6 linked regions of the Callithrix jacchus genome follow. The protein of the gene in region 1 purifies or fractionates together with the protein of each later gene. This does not show direct contact. Links are inferred from orthologs where the notes say so. Each region holds a gene or a part of one and is shown in the gene's direction. Other genes may lie near its edges. The genes, in order: MAPK1, ERF, DUSP4, HMMR, STAT3 and DUSP9.

Region 1 (4,151 bases):
TTGTCCTGCCTCAGCCTCAAAAGTAGCTGGGATTATAAGTGCCTGCCACCTCGCCTCGATAACTTCTCTCCACCCCACCTCCTACGGAGTCTTTGCTCTGTTGCCCAGGCTGGAGTGCAGTAGTGAGATCTCAGCACACTGCAACCTCTGCCTCCCGGGTTCAAGCAATTCTCCTGCCTCAGCCTTTCAAGTAGCTGGGATTACAGGCATTCACCACCTCGCCTGGCTAGTTTTTATATTTTAATAGAGACGGGGTTTCACCATATTGTCCAGGCTGGTCTTGGACTCCTGACCTCGTGATCTGCCCACCTCGGCCTCCCAAAGTGCTGGGATGACAGGCGTGAGCCACCGTGCCTGCCTTTAATTTTTGTATTTTTAGTGGAGACCTGGCTCTCAAACTCCTGACCTCAAGTGATCCGCCCGCCGAGGCCTCCCAAAGTACTGGGATGATAGGTGAGAGCCACCGCGCCCTCCCTTCTGCTTTATATTTCTTCACAGTACTTACCACAGCTTGAGTATTAAATGTATTTGTCTGGCCGGGCGCCGTGGCTCATGCCTGTCATCCCAGCACTTTGGGAGGCTGAGGCAGGCGGATCACTTGAGGTCGGGAGTTCGACAGCAGCCGGACCAACATGGTGAAACGCTGTCTCTAAAAAATAAATTAATTAAAAACAAACAAGTAAATAAATAAACGCTGTCTCTAATAAATAAATAAATAAATAAATAAATGTCTCCTCTCTCTAAAATGTAACTTCTATGAGGGTGGATCCCCAGGAACATAGAGTGTGGTCAACAAACATCTGAGCTAAGCTCTGATTCTCCTATCCTCTCAGTGTCTCCTTTTAATCTAGACAATTGTGCTTCTCACTTTCTCAGTATGGAAATATCTTTCTCAGTCTGGGTCATGTCTTTCGGTTTCTGCCCCAGTGCCAACGCCTCTTAGTTTATCAGCGTGTGGGCCACGGATTAGCAGAGGCCTGAGCTGTGGCGCCGCCGGGCTACGGCGCGTCGTCAAGCCTCAGGCACAGCTCCGAGCCCTCGCTGGTTCTGTTAGGACCCTGCTCCGGCGCGGGCCCCGGCCACATGTCACTTCAGTCCCATAGGTTCTGCCCCACGTCTGTCTCCCTGAGTCTCTCAAGAGCCGAGTCCCGCGCCTCCGACCCCGCGAATACACGTGACCACGCCCGGGGGTGGCCCCTCAGTCAACGCAGCCGCAGTGCCCCACCCCGAGCCCGTCGCTTCCGCCGGCCCGCCTGGCCCCGCCCCATCCACGAAGAACCAATCTGCACGCACGTTGCTTGGCCCCCTCCCCGGCACTCTCCTCGGCGCGCGCCCCTCCCTCCGCCCGCCCGTCTGTCTGGCAGGCAGGCAGGCAGGCAGTCGGCTCGAGCGGCTGTGGGCTCTTCAGGTCTCCCCCCCGGCGTCTTCCTTCCTCCTCCCGGTCAGCGGCGGCGGCTGCTCCGGCGGCGGCGCGGTCCCTTCGGGAGGGGCGACAGGAGCCGAGCGGCGGCCGCGGAGCGTCGAGTCCAGTGCGGCGGAGGCGGCGGCGGCCCGGCAACCAACATGGCGGCGGCGGCGGCGGCGGGCGCGGGCCCGGAGATGGTCCGCGGGCAGGTGTTCGACGTGGGGCCGCGCTACACCAACCTCTCGTACATCGGCGAGGGCGCCTACGGCATGGTGTGGTGAGTGTCCGTGCCTGGCCACGCCCGACCTCCCCACCACCGGGGGCCGCGGCGGACGCAGCCTCGGCCTCGCCCGTGCCTCGGCCTCGGCAGCCGCGGCGACCTCGAACCCGGACTTCACCGCGGTCCGCGCGCCGGGACTCGGGCGGTGCCCCGGGCCGATTGAGACCCGGGCCCGCGGTCGCTCGGGAAGGGGCGCAGGGAGTGGCGTGGGGGGCGGAGGCCGGAGGCCGGAGGCTGGGTCTCGGGCCCAGGGCGCAACGCGGCCTTTAAAGTCTGGACCCTCGGGAAGGCAACGGAAGCGCCCCCACTCCTCAATTTGCTAACATCATGGCTTGCTTGATTGTAAACTGGGAATTCCATCAGATGCTTGTCGGTGTTGGCGGCGGCTGCTGAGGTCCTGAAAGCGATTTGTCTCCGCGTGTGTGCAGAACACCAAAATAGTCATTTTTTTTCTACTCGCCTTTGCAGCCAACGGCTTTGATTAAATATCCTCAGCGGTGCTAATGGTGGTCTGCGCGCAGGCTTTATAAAATGCATTGCTGACAGCAGTGTTATTTCCGTCTTGAAGTTTTTACTTTAAAGTGGATTTTAATATCACACTATTGGCGTTTCAGGAAGGTTAACTCAGCCTCAGTTTCTTGATTTATTAAAGATCCGTTTAGAGTTGGGCCTAATTTGACTTTTTTTTTTTTTTTAGTCCCCTAGTGAGCTCTTTTACCAGCATAAATGCTCCCAGATGTTTTAGCCCAATTGCTGTGGACTTTAGTGGTCAATAAGTATGCAGCCTTTCTGGAGTTTTTGCAAAATCACATGTAGGCTCCCTCATCTTGATTTAGGTCCCTTAGAAAAGTGAAGTGATGGTGACTGTATTGTTTTTATTAGAGCAAACTAGCTGTAACATTTTGTGCTGGTGAAGACTTGTGGAAGTAGATTCCCTTAAATCACAGTGTCTTTTGTGTTGACCGAAGGAATTAAACCGATATTTTATTGAGCACTTCATGGTAGGTACTGTGCAACATACATGATTTCATTTTATTTGAACAGCCACATTGAAGGAGGAAAAGATGGTGTTATTCCTTTTTTCAGGTGAGAAGGTATTTCAGGTGATAAAGTATTTTGAGGTGAAGTTCAGGATGAGGTAATAGAACTAAAGAGTTATTCTTAAGATTGTAGAGTGAGATTCTACTTCACACACCACACCTCTTTTCAGCTGTTTTTAGGAAAACACCCTGCTTTCCTTAGGGTAATTAATAATTGCAGAATTTTGTGTATTTCACTGTTATAAAGTAAATGTAAGTCTATTTCAGAAGTGTATTCAGATTTCAATCGTCATAATTTTAGAAATGCAATAGAAGGCATGTTTTGCCAAGTATTGCAGCTAGATAGAAAGATTACTTAAAATTTTTTTAAAGAGACTTTAATTGAATCTTTCATATTTTCACTTTTTTTTTTTTGAGATGGAGTCTCGCTCTGTTGCCCAGGCTGGAGTGCAGTGTCAAGATCTCTGCTTACTGCAACCTCTGCCTCCCAGGTTCAAGTGATTCTTCTGCCTCAGCCTCCTGAGTAGCTGGGATTACAGTATTTTCACTTTATTTAGGCGCAAAATGCTGAATACAATTGTAAAAATTAACATGAACTCACAGGTTTAGGAGCCAAGAGAGAATTTAAATTAGGTCGAGCCTAAAAGAAATAAGGCCCTAAAGCCAGGCGGGGTGGCTCAAGCCTGTAATCCCAGCACTTTGGGAGGCTGAGGGGGGTGGATCACAAGGTCAAGAGATCGAGACCATCCTGGTCAACATGGTGAAATCCCGTCTCTACTAAAAATACAAAAAAATTAGCTGGGCATGGTGGCGCGTGCCTGTAATCCCAGCTACTCAGGAGGCTGAGGCAGGAGAATTGCCTGAACCCAGGAGGCGGAGGTTGCAGTGAGCCGAGATCGTGCCATTGTACTCCAGCCTGGGTAACAAGAGCGAAACTCCGTCTCACACACACAAAAAAGAAATAAGGCCCTAAAAAGTAATGGAGAGGAAGTATTGCCAATAACATCATTTCTGTACCATACATCTCACTGTTGTTGCACTCACTGGGAAGTGTGCCCGTGAACGTGTCTCATTATGAGAGGCTCAGAATTTCCCATCATGTCCTTTGGCCCTTTTAACAAAATTAACTTATCTAAAATGTGGACTGAAAAAAGTCTTTTAAGTTTAGGACACATCACTTGAAAAGATACCCCCATCTGATAAGGTTTCCCCTATCTGATAAGGTTTTTACTAGTCTGAAGTTTAGATCTGGGAACTAATTCTGTCAACTGCTGTAGGCTCGTTTGACCTTCTGACTCTCCGTTTGAATGCTAGGTCCTCTTATTATGATTTTCCTTTCTAACTAAAACACAAATGCAAATATAATTGGGTATTTGAATCCTAGATTCAAATTATAGCCTTTTATCAGGTTGATGACATACCCTAT
Region 2 (4,124 bases), on another chromosome or scaffold:
CTGGTCTCACCAGGGAGGAGGAGGCCTGAGACTTCTTTTTGAGGCACCGGTGAGGCGCCTAAGGCGGACTAGGTACCCCGCAAGGAAGGAGGCGAGGAGGCTGGGATTGAAACCCTAGTTACCGGGAGCCTGAGCTCCGCAGGCCTTCCCTATCTGTGACTTGTCTGTGTCTCCCCGCCCATCTTCTGGATTTGTCGCCCCCACACCCCCGCCCCTCAGATCCGCCCGCCACCCATACGCCCCTCCTTTGGAACCTCAGAGTCTTTTTTGAGACCCTGTTTCCAGGCTGTGCTTGTGAATATTGCTTCTATTTGGCCTCTACCGTGCTGCCGGCTCCCAGGCTCCATCAGATCTGCACAGTGATTTCCTGTTTCCCAGAGCCTCAGGCTTCATCCTTCCCTCCCGACTGAAGCAAAGAACGGAGACTTAACGCTTCCCTACGCGCTGGCTTTCGATCTTAAGCCCTGTCTTCCTCTTTCCTGGCGACCCTCAGTGCCCTTTGGGAGCACATTTGTTCAGACTTTGGTCGCCCCCTCATATCCTGGCCCCGCCTCCGGAACCCCCGGTCCTAATGGTGGAGGTGGGGGGACCTCCGGCGCCAGCTCTGTCCCCGGGACAGCTGCAGCCTGGGCACGGTGGCGGTGGGGGCTTCCAAATGCATTCTCTGGTCACTTCCTCCTCAGCTGGACTGGGGCTATCAGGAAGGACAAGACCCCATCCCCACAGGAGCGGAGGGCACAGCCGCCTCCCCATTTCCGTGGCTGGGAAATGCATCCCACCCATTCCACCCCACCCCTGGACAGCTGCCCCCATTCAGGCTCAGGGTTGGGGGGCTGGGTAAAACTAAGCTGGGAAATGCTGTCCTCCAAGGGCCTGACCCCGCCCCTCTGCAGGGAAGATTCTGCCCCCTCCCCACAAAAGTTTCTGAACCCCATTTCCTCGGAAGGGCCCCCCGTTTTTCCATACAGGCACCCAAAAGAAACTCTCGTGCCCGCAGTGGGCAGGAGAGGAGGAGGGGCAGCAGGTAGCGAGTGCCGAGGACTTAAGTTATCTGCAGACTTGGAGCCTCGGACTAGGGTCACGACCTACGGGACCCCATCCCACCCCCGCCCCCTCCTTCCTCCCTCCCCCGCTGCGCGGCCCCTTTAAGCGCAGAGCCGGCCGGTCCTCAGTGGCTGAGCGCCGGAGAGCGTGTGTGTGAGTGCGCGGGGAGGGGGCGGGCGCAATGTCTCCATGGCGACGCGGCGGTGACGTCGCCGGCCGGGGGGCGTGGGCGTCCCGGCCCCGGAGTGCGATATTAACCCGGGAGGCGGCGGCGGGGAGGGGAGAGGCTCTGAGAGGCGAGGCCGGGTGAGGCGGCAAGGGCGGCCCGACGGGCGCGGGACGGGACGGGGCAGCGCGGGCGCCGGGAGCCGCGGCCCGGAGTCGGGGCGCTTCGCCCCGGGCCCCCAAGCATGAAGACCCCGGCGGACACAGGTGGGGGCGGGGGCAGCACGTGTGGGGGAGACTTGTTGCCCCAGGAAATCGAACGGAGAAACTTTGGGGGGGCTGAGGGGTCCAGGGGAGCCCGAGTGATTCCCCAGTTCTGGGGGACCCCTCAAGCACTCGAGACCTGTTGCTTCTCGTGGCGCGAGCGGGGTTGCTGCCTGGGACCCCCGATTCCTGGCTCTGGGCAGAGTGGTGTGGTTGCTGCGGATCTTGGTCCTATATCCCTACCGGGACCCCGCAGGCTGGGCTCTCTCCCACTCCTGGGATCACGGGGGTGGCGGGGTCCTTCCCCTCCGCTCTTGTCACGTTGCACTCTGGGGGCCGGGACGTGTGCGGGCGGGGGGGGGGCTCGTCCACTGGGCCCGCTATCCCTGGTTCTGCGCTTCGCGGTCCGGCTGGTGACCTTCACCGCAGCGCGTGCCCCGCACCAGGTTAGCGGAGGATACGGGATGGCCTCTAGGAGGAGGGCGTGAGTGGGGAGCCCGAGACTCGGGGTCCGGGCTGCGCCGCCCCTCCCCCGCCCGCCTCAGTCGGCTCCTCGCTCCCCCGCCCTCGCCGAGTCGCAAAGTTCCAAAGCGCAGCCCGAACGTTCGAAAAAGGAACTTTTTGTTTCCGACCTTAGAACGCGCGGCTTTAAGGTGGCTCCGGGGAGACCTGGGTACCCTCCTTCCGCACCACCGGGGCTCCGGGGTAGTGGAGGGTGGAAAAGGTGGGGGGAGACGCAGAGGCTCCCCCCTTATCCCCCCTCCCGGATCCAGCTCTTCTCTTTCAGCGGGCCGTCTCTTCCCTCCGCCCCTCTCTTCCCCGCCAACTTGCTCCTCCTTAAGGGGCCAAGGTTCCCCTCCCCCTCGGTCGGCGGACGGGGGGCAGCGGGATTAACCCCCCTCCCACTCGGACTTTTCCCCCTCCCCTCCCCCGCCGCCCCCGGGCTCGCGCGGGCTGGACTTTGCGCCCAAGCGCGCAGGGGGAGGGGTCCCAGCCGCCCCCTGCCCGTCTACCCCGTCGGAATCCGGCCCGGGGCGGGGACGGGGGAGGGGGAAGGGGGCCGGGCGCCGCTGTTCAAACTTGTTTCCTTCCCCCGGCGGCGGCGGCGGCGGCGGCGGCTCGGGCTCCAGTGTGCGGGTGTATGCCCCGACCGGCCCACCCACCCCACCCCACCCCACCCCATCCCCACCCCACCCCACCCCATCCCCACCCCATCTCCATCCCCCTGCTCGGCGGGTGGGGGAGGCTTAATCTTAAAGGGCAGGGGATTGGGATCGAGGAGGGGCCCTGGAGGTGGGGCCGGGGTGCGGAGTGCTGTAGGGTCAGTCACGTGCGTCCCACAGACTCCCCCAGCTTCCACTCGCTCCTGGGCCGCTGGGCCCCGGGGGCAGCAGGAGCCTCCTCTGGTCCGAAGAGGAGGCCGAGGCGCCTAGACAACCCCGCCTCATCTTCCCTCCCTGCTACCGGCCTTGGCCTGATGGGACCCGCTGGTTGCTTCCCCAACCCCGTCTGAGGGCCGAGCAGTGTGTGGGTTCTCCGGCGGGGGGGAGAAGAGGGGCAGGAGGCCTGGAATGGCCTCCAATCGGTGCATCTTTCCATCTGCCTCCTGGCCTGCCGCTCCGCACCCCTCCATCCGATCCTCCATCCCGGCCCCTCTCTCCTCTGCCGTGGCTGTTTCCCACTTCCTGTTTTCTTCCCGGCTCTGGCGCCACAGAGGGCTGCCTGAAGTGGGGGAGGTAGTGGGGCCCCCCAGGAGGCCGGCGTGTTGTTCCTCTACCATCACTCCTCCCTTCCGACCCTCATGGTCCCTTAAAAAAAGTTTGGGCTGTCACGTGAGGTTGGGGGGGTGCCCAGGAGTTTTGTCCCCCCAGGCTTGCAGTCTGTCTGGGAGAATCCCTACCCCGCCTCTGTGGGACCCAGGTGTGCTTCCGGGACCTCGCCATCCCAGCCCTTCCTGTCTGTCTGCTGCCACTCTGCACCCTGCCTCGCAGTCTTGTGAACCCCTCTCTCTATGTGTCTGCTCTCTCCCTGCCTCACTGGCCCCCATATTCCTGAGGTCCCACACCCCCAAGCTTCCTCTGTGCAGGTCTGGTGTTTCCCTGTTTTAAGCACGTGGACGCATACACAACACACTCACACATGCTCCCCTTGCCCGTGCCTGGCTCCTGGCTCCAGGGCCTGGGGAACAGAGCCCCATTGAGACACCCTGACGTCACCCCCTCTTCATTCTCCCCCCCAAAGCCAGGAACAGGCCCTCATGTATGCTGTGTCCGATTAGGAAAGCCATCCTTGGGGTGGGCCTGGGAGTGGGGAAGGGTCCCTGCCAGGAGTGGGAGCCAGGGTCCAGACCCTGGAGGAGGGGTTACTCAGGGAAGGGGTTTAACAAGGGGGCCTGGGACAGCTCCCAGAATGCGGCTTGAGGCCTTTCCAGAGCCCCCCCACCTCCTTTCCGAGTTCCCTTTGTGTTGCATGTAGTCTCTCTCACTCCCTCTCTTCTGCAAAGTTTATTTTTAGCCTCCTGCTCCCCCGCTCCCAGGACTGTCGCTGCACACACGTTGCCTGGTTACCGGGACACGGAGGCTGGGGCGGGTGGGCTGGGAAGGGTGGCTTTAATTTTGGGGGGAGGGTGGAAGTCAGTACATCCCCTACCC
Region 3 (4,144 bases), on another chromosome or scaffold:
TACGCTACTCCGCAGCCTCCGAGACTGCGAGCGAGTCCTGTAACTTCCTTGCTCTGTGATTAATTCTCACTAACAAGACTTGGCAAGATGTCGGGCGAATGATTTTTGGCTTCTGCACGGTCCCCATCGTGTGCGTGCACAAACCCCCAGCCAAATGCCGCCTCTGGGAAATTAAATGCAAAAGAGAAATGGGGATGGGGAGGGCTGCCACGTGACCTGGAAAAAGGGATGCTCGGAAACCTGAATCGGGCCCAGAGCTGCTGAAGTTCTTTTAAAAGGTCATTCTTCCCGGGTACATTTCTCCATACCAAATGTGGACCCTGTCATTTCCTGAAAGGATAATTCACAACCATGCCAGATAGGGTGAAGACATCCCCCAAGCCCGAAAACCTTATTTTTCTCCCGACCAGGGTTAAATAAACATCTTTTAGGAGGCGGGGACAGGAGTGCAGCCTGTTCTCCTCCCTCCGCACACCATTCCGGCAATTAATGCCTCCCTATGGGTCGTAAAGCCACAAACCCCACACCTCACTCCGATCCTGGGCTTCGGGCGGGAGGACTTGCTCTTTCATCTTCTAAGCAGGGGGGTTGCCCACGTTCCTGGGGAAGCTATAAAACTGATTTAATGGCTTTAGATGAAAATCGATCACGCTAATGCATACGCAACGTCTCAGGAATGGCATTTTCAGAAAGGACTGGCCGGGCCGAAAGCGCACAGGGAGTCTGGGGCTAGGAGGTGCAGGACCTGCCGGGTGGGCAGCGGCGCTCCAGTCCCCTCTCCTTGGGTACCGGGGAGAGACTGCGGGGCTGTCACGCGGTGAAGCGCGAAGGTGCAAACGGATGAAAGCTCAAACCCGAGCCCCGGCCTCCTCGGCTGGCTATTTCCCTTGGCGCCGCCAGCCGAGCGGCGGCACAGGTGCGGGTGTCGGGCTGAAGGCGCAGCGGAGGCCGGGCCTGCCAGCGGACAGCGAAAAGGCGCCGCGCGCTCCATTCACAAAGTCCCCGCGCTGCCTGCAGCTCGCGGCGGGTCGGAGGCCGCCTCCCTCTTCCTCTCGGTCTCGGTTTTATGAATGGGCCTGACGGCGAGCACCCGGCGCCCTGTTTACTCCGCTCTTTGTGACGTCGAGTTCCCGTGACCGGGAGCGAGCGGCCGCGCTCCATTCAAGCTCCAGGGAGGAGGCGGGAGGAGGGGCCCGGAGGGAGCTGGGAGTCAGCGCAGGGGGCGGGGAAGGGCGCGGGGCCCGGAATGGAACGGGGCGGGGCCTGGCGGGGTAGTACTGAGCGCCCCCTCCCCCGGGAGCGCGGAGGAGCATTAATAAATCTCTAAGCCGAGGAGGAAACTCTGGCTGGGGCAGTGCGCGGAGCGCCGGGGAAGCGTGGGGAGCCGCAGCGCCGGCGCCGGTGGCGATAGGAGCAGCGCGACCCGCAAAAATACACAAGAGGCGGCGGCCGAAGAGAGTCCGCGGTCCTCTCCCGTAAACACACTCCCCTCCAGCGCCGCCTCCCCCTCCGCGCCGGGCGCTGTCCGGCTGGGCGCCCGAGGCCGCTGTGACTGCTATGTGACCGCGAGGCTGCGGGAGGAAGGGGACGGAGAGAAGAGACTCGCCCTCGGGAGCGCCAGGGGACCACGTTTGCGGCCACTTCAGCAGGCGTCCCCGCGTAGCCCGCGCCCGCTCCTTCCTGCAGACTAGGCGGCCCGGGTGCTCTTCTCTTCCTCGAGCGCCCAGCCGCCTCGGTTCCCGGCGACCATGGTGACGATGGAGGAGCTGCGGGAGATGGACTGCAGTGTGCTCAAAAGGCTGATGAACCGGGACGAGAACGGCGGCGGCGCAGGCGGCAGCGGCAGTCACAGCGCCCTGGGGCTGCCGAGCGGTGGCAAGTGCCTGCTGCTGGACTGCAGACCGTTCCTGGCGCACAGCGCGGGCTACATCCGAGGCTCGGTCAATGTGCGCTGCAACACCATCGTGCGGCGGCGGGCTAAGGGCTCTGTGAGCCTGGAGCAGATCCTGCCCGCCGAAGAGGAGGTGCGCGCTCGCTTGCGCTCCGGCCTCTACTCAGCGGTCATCGTCTACGACGAACGCAGCCCGCGCGCCGAGAGCCTCCGCGAGGACAGCACCGTGTCGCTGGTGGTGCAGGCTCTGCGCCGCAACGCCGAGCGCACCGATATCTGCCTGCTCAAAGGTAAGCGCGGGCTCCGGGCGCGAGCTGGAGGGAGATGGAGGAGGTCGATGGAGGAGGTCTTGGCGGCCTGCGCCTTAGTGGCAAGGAAAGGAGTCCCCTGCGTGATTCGTGGTTGCGGGGATCCCCGCGCGCCCCTTTGTGCTTGTTCGTGTGTACGGGCTTGCAAGGTTTCTATGCAAGTGCGAGCTTCAAGTACTCAGGGACAGTGCGGGCGGGTTCCCCCGGTCACCTGCAATTCCGCACTGTCCTAGCGAAGCCCCGTTTATTGACACTAAAGGTCCTGGCCTCGAGGGTGAAGCGACTCTTCTGCGCCGCCCATCACGAGTCCCGGGAAGTGTTCTCAAGTACCACGGGGCGCTTGGGAACAAGATAGGCCTATCGGTTTGGCATACCGGGACCCTGCACTAAACCCGACCGGGAAAATCCGAGAGGTAGGGAAAAGGGTGAAGGCGGGTGGGCGCCGAGGTACAATCAGCCCTGCCAGTTTCACTGAAAACAAGAGCCTGGCAAATGCAGAAAGGGAGATTGGGTTGCACACACTGTGTAGAGCGATCTGTATCTGCTTTCCCGCTGCCCAACTCCGAGCTCCGCTTGGAAGGTGGCCAATCTCGGTCCGGGGCTAGCTGCAGGCTCTGGGAGCAGGAGGCTGTAGGACGGTATATCTGGGGGACGCCAGGCGGAATCCGTCCTCTAGCTCCTGCAAATCTGGGCAGCCCAGAATGACCACCTTTTGTTCAGTCGGATTTGCGACTATCTGATGGCGGCGCGTGCCGGATTTAAGCGAGCCCTGGCGAAACTTGGCGACCTGGCTGTCTTGTCACATTTGGTAGTCGGATATCCCGAAAAAATCGCGTGCTGTCCGAGTTCCTGAAGGGAATGGGCGCCTGCCTCACCTGCAGGACCAGGTGTGTCCGCGGCTGTCGGGCTGGGGAGCGGGCAGGGCGCGTGGGGTCCGGGCGCCCTCTGCTGCGCTGCGCCCCCGCCTCCCGCCGCCGCATTCCGAGCATTCTTTCGCGCGGGTCGGGTCTGGGATTCCAAGCCCGGGAGGCGGTTCAGACTCCCCCCTCCATCAAAGAGCCGCACCTCCCCCCGCAGGCGCCCCCGCCCCCTCCCTCCTTTCTTTTCCTTTCCTTTCCTTTCCTTTCCTTTCCTTTCCTTTCCTTTCCTTTCCTTTCCTTTCCTTTCCTTTCCTTTCCTTTCTTTCCTTTCCTTTCCTTTCCTTTCTCCTTTCCTTTCCTTTCCTTTCCTTTTTCCTTTTTCCTTTCCGGACCTGTCCACTGGGGAGGAAGGGAGCTGGAGGAGGGCGGAAATCTCTCCCCTCCAAAAAGCACAACAAAACTGCTCAGTGCTGAAGAGTCGGGTTCGCCCCTGCCGAACAGCGGGGGGCTTTGTTCTCGGCAGTTGTTTCCTGCCCATTTGACCTGTCAGCTGCTAGGGAAACGCTGCTGTTGACCTTTGGTTGAACTGCTAAGGCGATTTTGCTGATTTTTCTTTCTTTTTCCGCGAGAGCCGCTCTGCCCCTCCACTTGAGCCCAGTCCTCCTCCCTTCTCCCCAAAGCGCTCCAGGAGAAAGTGCCAGGAAGGGGCATGTCCCGGAAAGCCTGGCCGCTGAGCGGGACCAGGTCCTGCTTAGGCCACCAGGGTGGGCGTCCGCGCCATTGTTTGAGCTGGTCGGCGCTGGTGGCAGAGATGAAGGCAATTCCTCGGGGACCCAAGTCCCTTCGAGTGACCGGGGCTGGCCGGGATGTTCCTCGAACTGCTTTGCCTTCAACTCCCCCCATAGAGAGCGCGGGCACAAACACCTTCCTTCGCTGGCCTCCGAGCCCAGGACCCGCGAGAACACAGCAGGGCTGGGGCCATGCTCCAGCCCCACGTGGAGTCTGGGTTTGTTTTGTTGTGTTTTGCTTTCCTTCCTGGAAGAAATCCGCAGGGGACCGCCCTAGAGCGGCAGCTCCGGGACCTC
Region 4 (3,500 bases), on another chromosome or scaffold:
CACCTACTTGACATCTTCAAGTATATATTAAATATTAACCTATCCAAAGCAGCTTGATCTTTCTGTTTTTCCCCGGCCCTAATCAATCTTCCTCATAGCTCAAGTGAGCTACGCACTTACTTACAACTTACTTAGATACCTTTTTATTTCATTTATTTATTTATTTATTTTCTGAGATGGAGTTTCACTCTTGTTGCCCAGGCTGGAGTGCAATGGCGCGATCTTGGCTCATTGCAACCTCCACCCGCTGGGTTCAAGTTATTTTGCTGCCTCAGCCTCCTGAGTAGCTGAGATTAGAGGCATCTGTCACCATACCCAACTAATTTTTTGTGTTTTAGTAGAGACGGGATTTCACCATGTTGGTCAGGCTGGTCTCGAACTCCTAACCTGAGGTGATGCAACTGCCTTGGCCTCCCAGAGTGCTGGGATTACAGACAGGAGCCACCGTGCCCGGCCTGCTTAGACACCTTTAATGGTTCCCCTCCTTCCCCCACCGTACCTTGCAGTGATGACCGTCATGCCACCATCTTCGACTCCAGCCTTTCTTACTCATTAAGCTCTAGTGTCACATCTTATTTTTTGATTTTGAATAATTTTCATGTTTGATAGTTATTTTCTTTTCCATCTCTGTATGCATACTTCCTGCACATAGGAGGCACTCGATTATTTTTTCTTTGAATACACAGCAGATACCATGTAAACACATTAGTACTTACCTCAGAACACTGAATTCTTACCTGTGTTAAATGCATGACCACAATAAAAACTTTTTAGTTTTACCTTAAAGTATATACAATGTAAACCCATAAGTTATGATTGTCATACACCTTAGTTAGAAAACTACTTTGACTTTTTTTTTTTTCTTTTTAATAAGCTATAAAGCATTAACAGCCAGTGAGATTGAAGATCTTAAGCTGCAGAACTCATCATTACAGGAAAAATTGGCCAAGGCTGGAAAAAATGCAGATGATATTCAGGGTCAGATATTGGCAACCGAGAGTTCAAATCAAGAATATGCAAGGTAAGTAGAACAAATCATGGCCTTAGAACCGTTAAGACAACTTCATGTTGAAAGCGAGCTGGTAACTTGCTTTCTTCCGTCTTATATTGCAAATTGAGAACTTAGTTAAAAAATGGTACTTCTTGTAATCCCAGCACTTTGGGAGGCCGAAGCGGATGGATCACAAGGTCAACAGATCGAGACCATCCCGGTCAACATGGTGAAACCCTGTCTCTACTAAAATTACAAAAAATTAGCTGGGCATGGTGGCGCATGCCTGTAATCCCAGCTACTCAGGAGGCTGAGGCAGGAGAATTGCCGGAACCCAGGGGGCGGAGGTTGCGGTGAGCCGATATGGAGCCATTGCACTCCAGCCTGGGTAACGAGCGAAACTCCGTCTCAAAAAAAAAAAAAAAAAAAAAAAAAAGGTACTTCTTGAAGAGTTTCTTCAATTAAAAAAAAAAAAGGAAAAATGAATGAAAATGGCTATAAAATGTTTAGTGAACTCTTCTCTCTCAAACCAAAGGATGCTTCTAGATCTGCAGACCAAGTCAGCACTAAAAGAAAGAGAAATTAAAGAAATCACAGTTTCTTCTTTTCAAAAAATAACTGATTTGCAGAACCAACTCCAGCAACAAGAGGAAGATTTTAGAAAACAACTGGAAGATGAGGAAGCAAGGTACTCTATGATTAGAGCCGGAGTGCCTGTAACTGAGTTACGATGCTATGTTTTAAATAACTACGTTTTTCTCAATTTAATTTTTCCATGCAGAAAAGCTGGAAAAGAAAATAAAATGGCACAATTAACTGAAGAAATTAACAAGTGGCGTCTCCTTTACGAAGAACTGTATAATAAAGTAAAACCTTTCCAGGTTTGTCAGTTAGGAGTTAAACTTACTTGTGTTTATTTTAGGAATTCACTTTTTTCCTGTTACTGTCCATGACTCAGGATTTCTGCCAGATCATTTTGCTCTGCATTTACAGCGCAAGTTTAGCTTACTATTAAAGGTTTATACATTTTATTAAATTCTTATGCAGAATTTTTTCCCACATTATTGAAGTATAATTGACAAATTTAATTGACAGAGTTTTCAATGGACCCTTTATGGTTTTAATAAAAAAACATTGTAATGAGGAACTTAAAGTTTGGCAGAGAGCTTGCCTGGTATGGGCTTTTGATAATTAACCTATTTTAATTTGCGATATGATTTATCTCATCGCAAATACTCATTGTTTCTCAATACACTGATGTTTTAAGAGAAAAAAAGGATAAGTGCTGATCTTGGAACGTGGATTGAAGTACAGTATTGGTTATAATGTGGTGATCCAACTGATACAGATAAAGCTGGCCAGCTGGCTTTTTTTCCTTGTTTCTTTTCCTCTGGTTTAATTACCTTTCAAATGAAAAACACAAAAGTTTAAAAGATTTTCATAGAGTATCTCTGGAGAGTTCTGAGAATATGTAAACATACCCTGTTTCTATTTCTGTAGTGTTTATGGTTTATATGAAACTGGTAAGATCAAACTGTTTTAAGTCTTAACTTTATTTACAAAATCTTTTTTAGCTACAATTAGATGCTTTTGAAGCAGAAAAACAGGCATTGTTGAATGAACGTGGTGCTGCTCAGGAAGAGCTAGATAAAATAAGAGATTCATATGCTGAATTATTGGGTCATCGGAATTTAAAACAAAAAATCAAGCATGTCGTGAAGTTGAAAGATGAAAATAGCCAACTCAAATCGGTTTGTAAAATGACATTTCATTTTATTAAAGATATTGGAGTGGGGCTATTCTAACTGTAATACTTAAAATGAAAATCAGAAAAAAGTAGCAGTTTATAGATGAAAATTGATCTGTGATTTTAGTTGACTTATTTTGGAGTGTTGACCAGATGGTTGTCATTCCATGTTCTAAAATTTTCCAGCTACCTTCTTAATATATTGTAAATTGCTAGAGTAATTGGATGAATTCATTCAGCTTTACATATCTATTTCTGTTTGCAAAACTGCAAACTCCTTGACGTAAAACCATAAAGACAAGCAGTGTTCAAAAATAGTTGGACATTTAAATTTTTTGATATGTATTGAGATGTAATTGACATCTTATACAATTCACCCATGGAAAGTGGACAATTCAGTGATATTTTGTATACTCACAGATTTGTGCAACCATCACCATAGTCAATTTTAGGACATTTTCATCACCTCAAAATGAAACCCTGTTATCCTTTTCCTAACACCCTCCTATCTCCTCATCCTACCCCACCTTTCAGCGCTAAGCAACCACTAATCTACTTTCTGTCTCTATTGATTTTACTGTTGTAGACATGACATATTCATGGATTCAAATAATATGTGGCCTTTTGTTACTGGCTTCTTTCCATCAATTAGCATAATATTTTCAAGGTTCATTCATGTTGTAGCATGGACAGTACTTTTTTAATTGATTGATAATTTATTATGTGGGTATACCACATTTTATTCATTTGTCAGTTGGTAAA
Region 5 (3,500 bases), on another chromosome or scaffold:
GAAAAGGGATCTGTCCATTTTCATGCTGTGGGTGATAAAAAAGAAAAAAAAAAGAATCAAAAAAGGAAAATGGATCTGGCCTATAGGGCTGCTCATTTGGGCCATGTCTACTGATCATTAGGTCATGTTTCCTGAGCAAGGCACTGTGCTGGGGCCAGGAAACAGGGCCTCCATCAGGTTGGGGAGTCGGGGTGCAGAGGCAGTATGTAGTCAGGGTGATAATTTTTGAGGTAGGAGGTAGATTTCTTTTCTCCTGGTTGCTATCTCACTCAACCCTTCCAGGGTACCACCCCATCTAACCTTAGAAGAGCTTCTTTTTTTTTTTTTTTTAAAGACGGGATTTCACCATGTTAGTCAGGCTGGTCTTGAACTCCCGACCTCAGGTGATCAGCCCAACTTGGCCTCCAAAGTGCTTGGATTACAGATGTAAGCCACCACGCCCGGCCTAGAAGATCTTTTAAGTGTGTTTTGGAGGGTAGAGCTAAAGGCTTGATATTCCCGGTCCATTTCTTCTTTTTTTTTTTTTCCCTTGTTCCCTATGCATTCCTTTAATCAACTATAGGCCAGTTTTTTTATGGGTTTTCTTTGAGATAGAGTCTTGCTCTGTTACCTGGCTGGAGTGCAGTGGCACGATCTCGGCTCACTGCAACCTCCACCTCCCGGGTTCAAGTGATTCTCCTCCCTCAGCCTCCTGCATGGCTCAGACTACAGGCATGCGCCCCCACACCAGGCTAATTTTGTATTTTTACTAGAGATGGTGTTTCACTGTGTTGGTCAGGATGGTCTCTATCTCTTGACCTCATGATTCGCCCACCTCTTCCTCCCAAAGTGCTGGGATTATAGGCATGGGCCACCGTGCCCAGCCGACTATTGGCTAGTTTTTAAAAAAGAGTTAGTGGAATATTTTATGTGTTGCCTGGGCTAGAAGTAGCTTTATCCTAATAAAGCTGTTGCCACCAAATACACCTGTCTGACACCAGATATCAGCTTGTTAGTGAGTGCTGCTGCTGGTCCCCAGCCCACCACCCAAGGCTACAAAGAACAGGGGCACTTGTTACATCACCCTCTGTCCCTGCTGGGCTACCCAGCAACAAAGATGGGTCAGATAATGGCAGTGTGTTTGTCCTCATTGTGTGCACACAGACAACAGCGGCCACCTTTTAATATGTGAACGCCAGTGGTTTCATGGCCCATTGTGGGACCAATGTGTGTGTGTTCCGTTTTAAGAAATAACACCAGCTGGGCTTGGTGGCTCATGCCTGTAATTCCAGCACTTTGGGAGGCTGAGGTGGGCGGATCACAAGGTCAAGATATCGAGACCATGCTGGCCAACATGGTGAAACCCCATCTCTACTAAAATAATAAAAATTAGCCGGGTGTGGTGATGCATGCCTATAGTCCCAGCCACTCAGGAGGCTAGGGAGGAGAATCACTTGAACCCAGGAGGCAGGAGGTTGCAGTGAGCTGAGATTGCGCCTCTGCATTCCAGCCTGATGTCAGAGCAAGACTCTGTCTCAAAAAAAAAAAAGAAAGAACATCTTGACCCCCAACCTCAAAATGTACTACTTGATTCTTTTTCTTTTCCTTCAGGACCTGGTGTGAATTATTCAGGGTGTCAGATCACATGGGCTAAGTTTTGCAAAGTAAGCAATCTTGTTAAATCCTTGTGGGAATGGGAGTACTAACCTGCATGGCTGTTGTGGAGGGCTCTGGCTTGAAGGCCTGAACTCTTGGTCCAGCAGCCAGTAGGACCTGCCAGCAGGTAGACGGGCCTGAGGATTTGGGTGGTGCACTGTGCCCCAGGAAGGGAAAGGCTGGGGTGGCGGTAGACTTGGCTTTCCCGTTATTCTTTTCTCCAGGAAAACATGGCTGGCAAGGGCTTCTCCTTCTGGGTCTGGCTGGACAATATCATTGACCTTGTGAAAAAGTACATCCTGGCCCTTTGGAACGAAGGGTAGGTCGGACAGAGTGTGCACAGGTGTAACCAAGTCCCCTGCTCTCTGCAAGCCAGTGGCAGTGGATGGCTGCCCTGTTAGCAATAACAACACCATTCCTCTTGGCTTCAGGTACATCATGGGCTTTATCAGTAAGGAGAGGGAGCGGGCCATCCTAAGCACCAAGCCTCCAGGCACCTTCCTGCTAAGGTTCAGTGAAAGCAGCAAAGAAGGCGGCGTCACTTTCACTTGGGTGGAGAAGGACATCAGCGGTAAGTGAGGCTCCCACCCACCTCATCACCGCTGCTAGTTCCAGGCACCTACTGCCCCCTGGTGGGTGGAGATGGCCCGACTCCCTGCCTGACTCAGACACTTTTGGGTGACTTCTAAGTCCTCCCAGCTGAAGCATTGATTGGTTTGCTTTTGTTTTGCTTCCTCCAGTGGCTATTGGTTGAGAAATTTGCAGTTTAAATTTTATTCTTCATCCCTTTTCCTACTTATCCTGTTAATATATCTTACACAAGTAGTTCTATTCAAGTTTATTGCCTTTGACCTAGCTGGTAGCCTCTTCTAAATTAGAAGCCAGCCTGAAACATTTCCACAGTACCAGGTCACTGGACAGGAGATTCAGGGTCTCAACACTGGGGTGGCTTACGTCTTCTCCCTTGGAGGAAATAAAAATGGGCTCTTTCTCTGAGATTACCTAGCTGTAGGTTCCATGATCTTTCCTTCCCACATCCCATAACAGGTAAGACTCAGATCCAGTCGGTGGAACCATACACCAAGCAGCAGCTGAACAACATGTCATTTGCTGAAATCATCATGGGCTATAAGATCATGGATGCTACCAATATCCTGGTGTCTCCGCTGGTCTATCTCTACCCTGACATTCCCAAGGAGGAGGCATTCGGAAAGTATTGTCGGCCAGAGAGCCAGGAGCATCCTGAAGCTGACCCAGGTAGTTGTTGATTTTCCATGTTCCTGGCATTTAATATTTGGGAAAAGTTGGAAATGTCAGGATCCTCGGAGGATAGACAGGCAAATGCCTGAATAACCTGGGGGATCATTATTTCTCCTTATGGGAATGCACTGTAATGAGTGCTTTTCTGGGGGTGACCGATGGGATTTGGGAGGAGAATCAGAATCACTTAGACTAGTGCAGCCCCTGCTTCACGAGAGTTCACTAGTCTTAAGAGGGGATACAGCCCCTCTTTATACGTAGAAAGGAGCAACCAGTATTAGCCTTTCTAAAAACATACCAAAAAGTAAAGAGCATCAACGTAAAGAAGAATTTATATAAACGAATGGATAAAATAGCCAGTTAACATCCAATGGCAGTAACCCTAAATTTAAGTCGACTAAATCCCCCAAACAAAAGATACAGCCAAAACCTAACGTATGCTGCATCCAGATCCATTCACATCCAAAGATACACAAAGACTCAAAACAAAGGGATGGAGAAAGACTTACCAACCAAATGGAGAGCATAAATAAATAAATAAATAGCAGGAGTTGCAGTTCTCGCATCTGATAAAATAGATTTCAAAGCAACAAAGATATAGTGGT
Region 6 (3,279 bases), on another chromosome or scaffold:
AGTCCCGGCTAGCAGCCCACTGCCCAGAAGGGAGGGGGAGGGGAAACTGGAAGCCCCTTAGAGATCTCCATCTGGCCGTGGGGAAGATCTAGGCCTCGAACGGCACCCCTCACACTCACCCACCCCACTCCCAGCTTTCCATCACCTGCCCTCTTCCGTAACCGTGACCTCAGACATTTGCTCCTCTGACTCCGTAATGATTCCCACTGTGGGACTCGCAGTGCGCTTTCCATTTTCCACTCCTTAGAGAATGTGTGTAACTTTGATTTCTTTTACTTTAGTTCCTTAGATTCCCCAAAGTGGTCAAAGGGTTGGGATTTTTTCCTAGCTCTTGATATTGCCAGATTAATTTCCAAAAGGGCTATGCCAATATATACCCTGCAACCGTTGAACAGCACGTTGATTTCACAGCAATTTTGCCGGCACTGGGTGTTCTCAAACATGAGGACATTTCTAGCACAGAAGGTGGAAAGTGTTACCTCGTTGGTCATTGTTACTTGTTTTTTGGAGTTGCTTTCCTTCCACGCCTGAGCTTGAACCTTCCCCCAAATATTTGTAAGGCCGCCGCATTCCCTCCTTCCTGCAGTGTGCAGTGTTTTCAGGTTCTTTGCCCATTTATCTACAGGGGTCTTAACCTTTTGGTTGGGTATGAGCTTTATCTTATCTATTGTACATTTTCCTTCAACACTGTTATTTGCTTTTGTTGGGCTTTAAGCAGAAAAGGGACTTTTAGCCAGACCAGTGTTGTGGACACCTCCCCCTGACCTGGTCTCCTATCTCAGCGCTCACCACACCTGAGACCTTGTGCAGTGCCCTGGCTGCCTATGGATCTGCCCTGCCTATTGTGCCCATGGAGGAAAGGATGGAGGCCACCAGCCTTGGTTGAGTGGATGGCATTCTGACATTGGGCAGGGCAGGGCAGGGTGGAGGGCAGGTCGTTGCAGGCCTGGAGGCTGGGAGACTGTTGTGCAAGACGTGACAGTGACCTGGCCTAGAGCTGATGAATTTGAGCCCTTGGCTAGGATAGGGGACAGGGGACAGAGGCATGGATGTGAGAGAGATTTAGCTGGAAACTACTTCTCTCCACTTTGATCAGCCAAGGGGAGAGCCAGGGGTCACTCTTAGGATCAGTTTAGGGCTGGGAGCTCAGGGCTCCTGGGTACTTTTGGCCAGTGCTGTGTGAGTGAAGCCTGCTGGGGTGGGAGGTGCTCTGGGCCAAAGCTGCAGAAAGTTTCTGATCCTGCTTCCTCCTCCCCTGGGCGATTTCAGTGGCATCCCACCTTTGGCCAAGCTGGTAGCTATAAGTCCATTACAGAGATGGTGCCACTGAGATCCAGGCAGGGGAGAAGATGGTCCAGTATCACCGAGTGAGTTGAGTTGAAGGCAGCTTCTGCGACAGGGGGGCTGGGCTCTTGTCCCCACCCCTCCCCCTGCCTCCCGAGGCCAGGCTGGCGCCGGCCAGGGGAGCCGCAGCTGGTCCCCTGCTGGGCCCCTGACCTGCCCTTGGCCTCTGCCCCGACCCCGTCCCGCCTCGGTGGAAGCCCCAGCTCAGCCGACTCGCAGGTCCCACCCGACTGCTTCCTTCGGCTAGCACCCGTTGGCTCACCGGCGCCCAGGCCCGCCCCCGCAGCCCCGCCCCGGCCCGCCCCTCGGAGTTGTAACTCCACGTCCCAAGGCTGTCTCCAAGGTGGAAGCTGGGTCCAGCTGCCAGGAAGCTGCTCGGCTTCCACGTGCGAGCCTGCACCGCCGCCCCGCCTTCTCCTAGCGGCCGGGCCTAGGGACTCCCTGCCCCGGGACGGCGCACCGCGTTCCGCCGTGGCAGTGGCCGTGGCCAGAACGTCCACGCGCAGTCGCCTACCGCCGGATCGCGCTCCAGGTCTCTCTCCTTTTGTTCTCTCCTGAGGGTGGGGGGAGATGGTGACCGGGGCTAGGTCACCTCTGAGAGGACTCGCTGAGGCCCAGCACCTCTGCTCCGCCTGTTTCCCTGGCCCACCTGGCCGTGGGGGAGATCTGGGTCTTGAAAAGCACCCCTCACACTCACACCCCCACCCAGCAAAGTCGGAAGCTGGAACTTGGGGAGCGATCGCGGGCAGGCCGAGAAAGAGGAGCAGAAAGGGGGTATGGAGGTAGACCGCTGCGGCCTCGGGGTACCCCAAGATGAGCCTCGAAGGGGCGGTTAGATGCTCAACCCTTTTCTGGAGGACCTTTCCCCGTGCTGAGCGGCCGCCTCGGGGGTTTTCTTGGGGCACCTTATTGGGAATCCTCGCGTTGGGGGGCCCTGGGCTCCCGCCTTCTGGACGCCCTCGGCCCGCCGGGAGCTCACACTGCGCCTTCCCTCTCTCCATAGTGCCCGTGGCCCGACGTGTCAGAAGCCGAGCGCCGATGGAGGGACTGGGGCGCTCGTGCCTGTGGCTGCGCCGGGAGCTGTCGCCCCCGCGGCCGCAGCTGCTGCTCCTGGACTGCCGCAGTCGCGAGCTGTACGAGTCCGCGCGCATCGGTGGGGCGCTGAGCGTGGCCCTTCCCGCGCTGCTGCTGCGCCGCCTGCGGAGGGGCAGCCTGTCGGTGCGCGCGCTCCTGCCCGGACCTCCGCTCCAGCCGCCCCCGCCTGCCCCCGTTCTCCTGTACGACCAGGGTGGGGGCCGGCGCCGGTGCGGAGAGGCCGAGGCTGAAACTGAGGAGTGGGAAGCCGAGTCGGTGCTGGGTACCCTGCTGCAGAAGCTGCGGGAGGAAGGCTACCTGGCCTACTACCTCCAGGGTAGGTGCCGCGGGGCCCTCCTTTCCAGGGGGTTCGGGATTCCTTTGACCTTAGGCCAGCCCAACCTCTTGTTTTCCAAAGCGGGTTGAGGCCCCCCTCCCCTGATGACCTGCCAGGCTGCTCTGAGAGGAGGGGAGCCCCAAGTATGACCTCCAGCAGGTTCTTCACTCTCCGAAGCCCCAGTCTCTGAGTCTGGAAAATGGGGGGTTGGCCTGACCTGAGCTAGTTCCCAGGATGCTCGAAAGGGAAGTACAAAGCTCGGGTTCCGCAAAGAACAGCAGGGACGGGGAGGGAGACTGGGGGGAACAGGCCCAGGGCAGAGACAGTGTTCTCATGAATCCAGAGCCAGCCGTCGCCAAGAAAGGTCCACTGGACTGTATTAGGGACATATAAAGTGTCAGCTTTCCAGCCTGGGAAAAGAGTAGTATCTGTAAACAGAGGTGCTGGGTTCTTGGGACTTTACAGCCATTCTGGTGGAATGTTACATTCTCCCCCAAGCTCCCCACATCTTGGGGTCCCACTTC

The links.
Region 2: the proteins of MAPK1 (region 1) and ERF purify together in Homo sapiens (co-immunoprecipitation; 3 studies listed by BioGRID and IntAct, with this or other methods). This does not show direct contact. The link is inferred for Callithrix jacchus from reciprocal best matches to the Homo sapiens genes MAPK1 and ERF.
Region 3: the proteins of MAPK1 (region 1) and DUSP4 purify together in Homo sapiens (affinity purification with mass spectrometry; 6 studies listed by BioGRID and IntAct, with this or other methods). This does not show direct contact. The link is inferred for Callithrix jacchus from reciprocal best matches to the Homo sapiens genes MAPK1 and DUSP4.
Region 4: the proteins of MAPK1 (region 1) and HMMR purify together in Homo sapiens (affinity purification with mass spectrometry; 4 studies listed by BioGRID and IntAct, with this or other methods). This does not show direct contact. The link is inferred for Callithrix jacchus from reciprocal best matches to the Homo sapiens genes MAPK1 and HMMR.
Region 5: the proteins of MAPK1 (region 1) and STAT3 purify together in Homo sapiens (affinity purification with western blotting; 3 studies listed by BioGRID and IntAct, with this or other methods). This does not show direct contact. The link is inferred for Callithrix jacchus from reciprocal best matches to the Homo sapiens genes MAPK1 and STAT3.
Region 6: the proteins of MAPK1 (region 1) and DUSP9 purify together in Homo sapiens (affinity purification with mass spectrometry; 5 studies listed by BioGRID and IntAct, with this or other methods). This does not show direct contact. The link is inferred for Callithrix jacchus from reciprocal best matches to the Homo sapiens genes MAPK1 and DUSP9.

Annotation. Positions count from the first base shown.
Region 1 is NC_133502.1:193,829,249-193,833,399, reverse strand, and holds the start of MAPK1 (mitogen-activated protein kinase 1), read left to right. Parts: upstream 1-1,351; 5' UTR 1,352-1,563; coding exon 1,564-1,682; intron 1,683-4,151. UniProt on the Homo sapiens protein: Serine/threonine kinase which acts as an essential component of the MAP kinase signal transduction pathway. MAPK1/ERK2 and MAPK3/ERK1 are the 2 MAPKs which play an important role in the MAPK/ERK cascade.
Region 2 is NC_133523.1:37,282,179-37,286,302, reverse strand, and holds the start of ERF (ETS domain-containing transcription factor ERF), read left to right. Parts: upstream 1-1,324; 5' UTR 1,325-1,454; coding exon 1,455-1,476; intron 1,477-4,124. UniProt on the Homo sapiens protein: Potent transcriptional repressor that binds to the H1 element of the Ets2 promoter. May regulate other genes involved in cellular proliferation.
Region 3 is NC_133514.1:30,456,591-30,460,734, reverse strand, and holds the start of DUSP4 (dual specificity protein phosphatase 4), read left to right. Parts: upstream 1-1,344; 5' UTR 1,345-1,748; coding exon 1,749-2,181; intron 2,182-4,144. UniProt on the Homo sapiens protein: Regulates mitogenic signal transduction by dephosphorylating both Thr and Tyr residues on MAP kinases ERK1 and ERK2.
Region 4 is NC_133503.1:26,272,623-26,276,122, forward strand, and holds part of HMMR (hyaluronan mediated motility receptor), read left to right. Parts: intron 1-874; coding exon 875-1,021; intron 1,022-1,526; coding exon 1,527-1,679; intron 1,680-1,772; coding exon 1,773-1,872; intron 1,873-2,565; coding exon 2,566-2,742; intron 2,743-3,500. UniProt on the Homo sapiens protein: Receptor for hyaluronic acid (HA). Involved in cell motility. When hyaluronan binds to HMMR, the phosphorylation of a number of proteins, including PTK2/FAK1 occurs.
Region 5 is NC_133506.1:121,751,031-121,754,530, reverse strand, and holds part of STAT3 (signal transducer and activator of transcription 3), read left to right. Parts: intron 1-1,590; coding exon 1,591-1,643; intron 1,644-1,859; coding exon 1,860-1,954; intron 1,955-2,066; coding exon 2,067-2,206; intron 2,207-2,682; coding exon 2,683-2,895; intron 2,896-3,500. UniProt on the Homo sapiens protein: Signal transducer and transcription activator that mediates cellular responses to interleukins, KITLG/SCF, LEP and other growth factors. Once activated, recruits coactivators, such as NCOA1 or MED1, to the promoter region of the target gene.
Region 6 is NC_133524.1:149,571,772-149,575,050, forward strand, and holds part of DUSP9 (dual specificity protein phosphatase 9), read left to right. Parts: intron 1-1,684; exon of another isoform or gene 1,685-1,876; intron 1,877-2,347; 5' UTR 2,348-2,382; coding exon 2,383-2,755; intron 2,756-3,279. UniProt on the Homo sapiens protein: Inactivates MAP kinases. Has a specificity for the ERK family.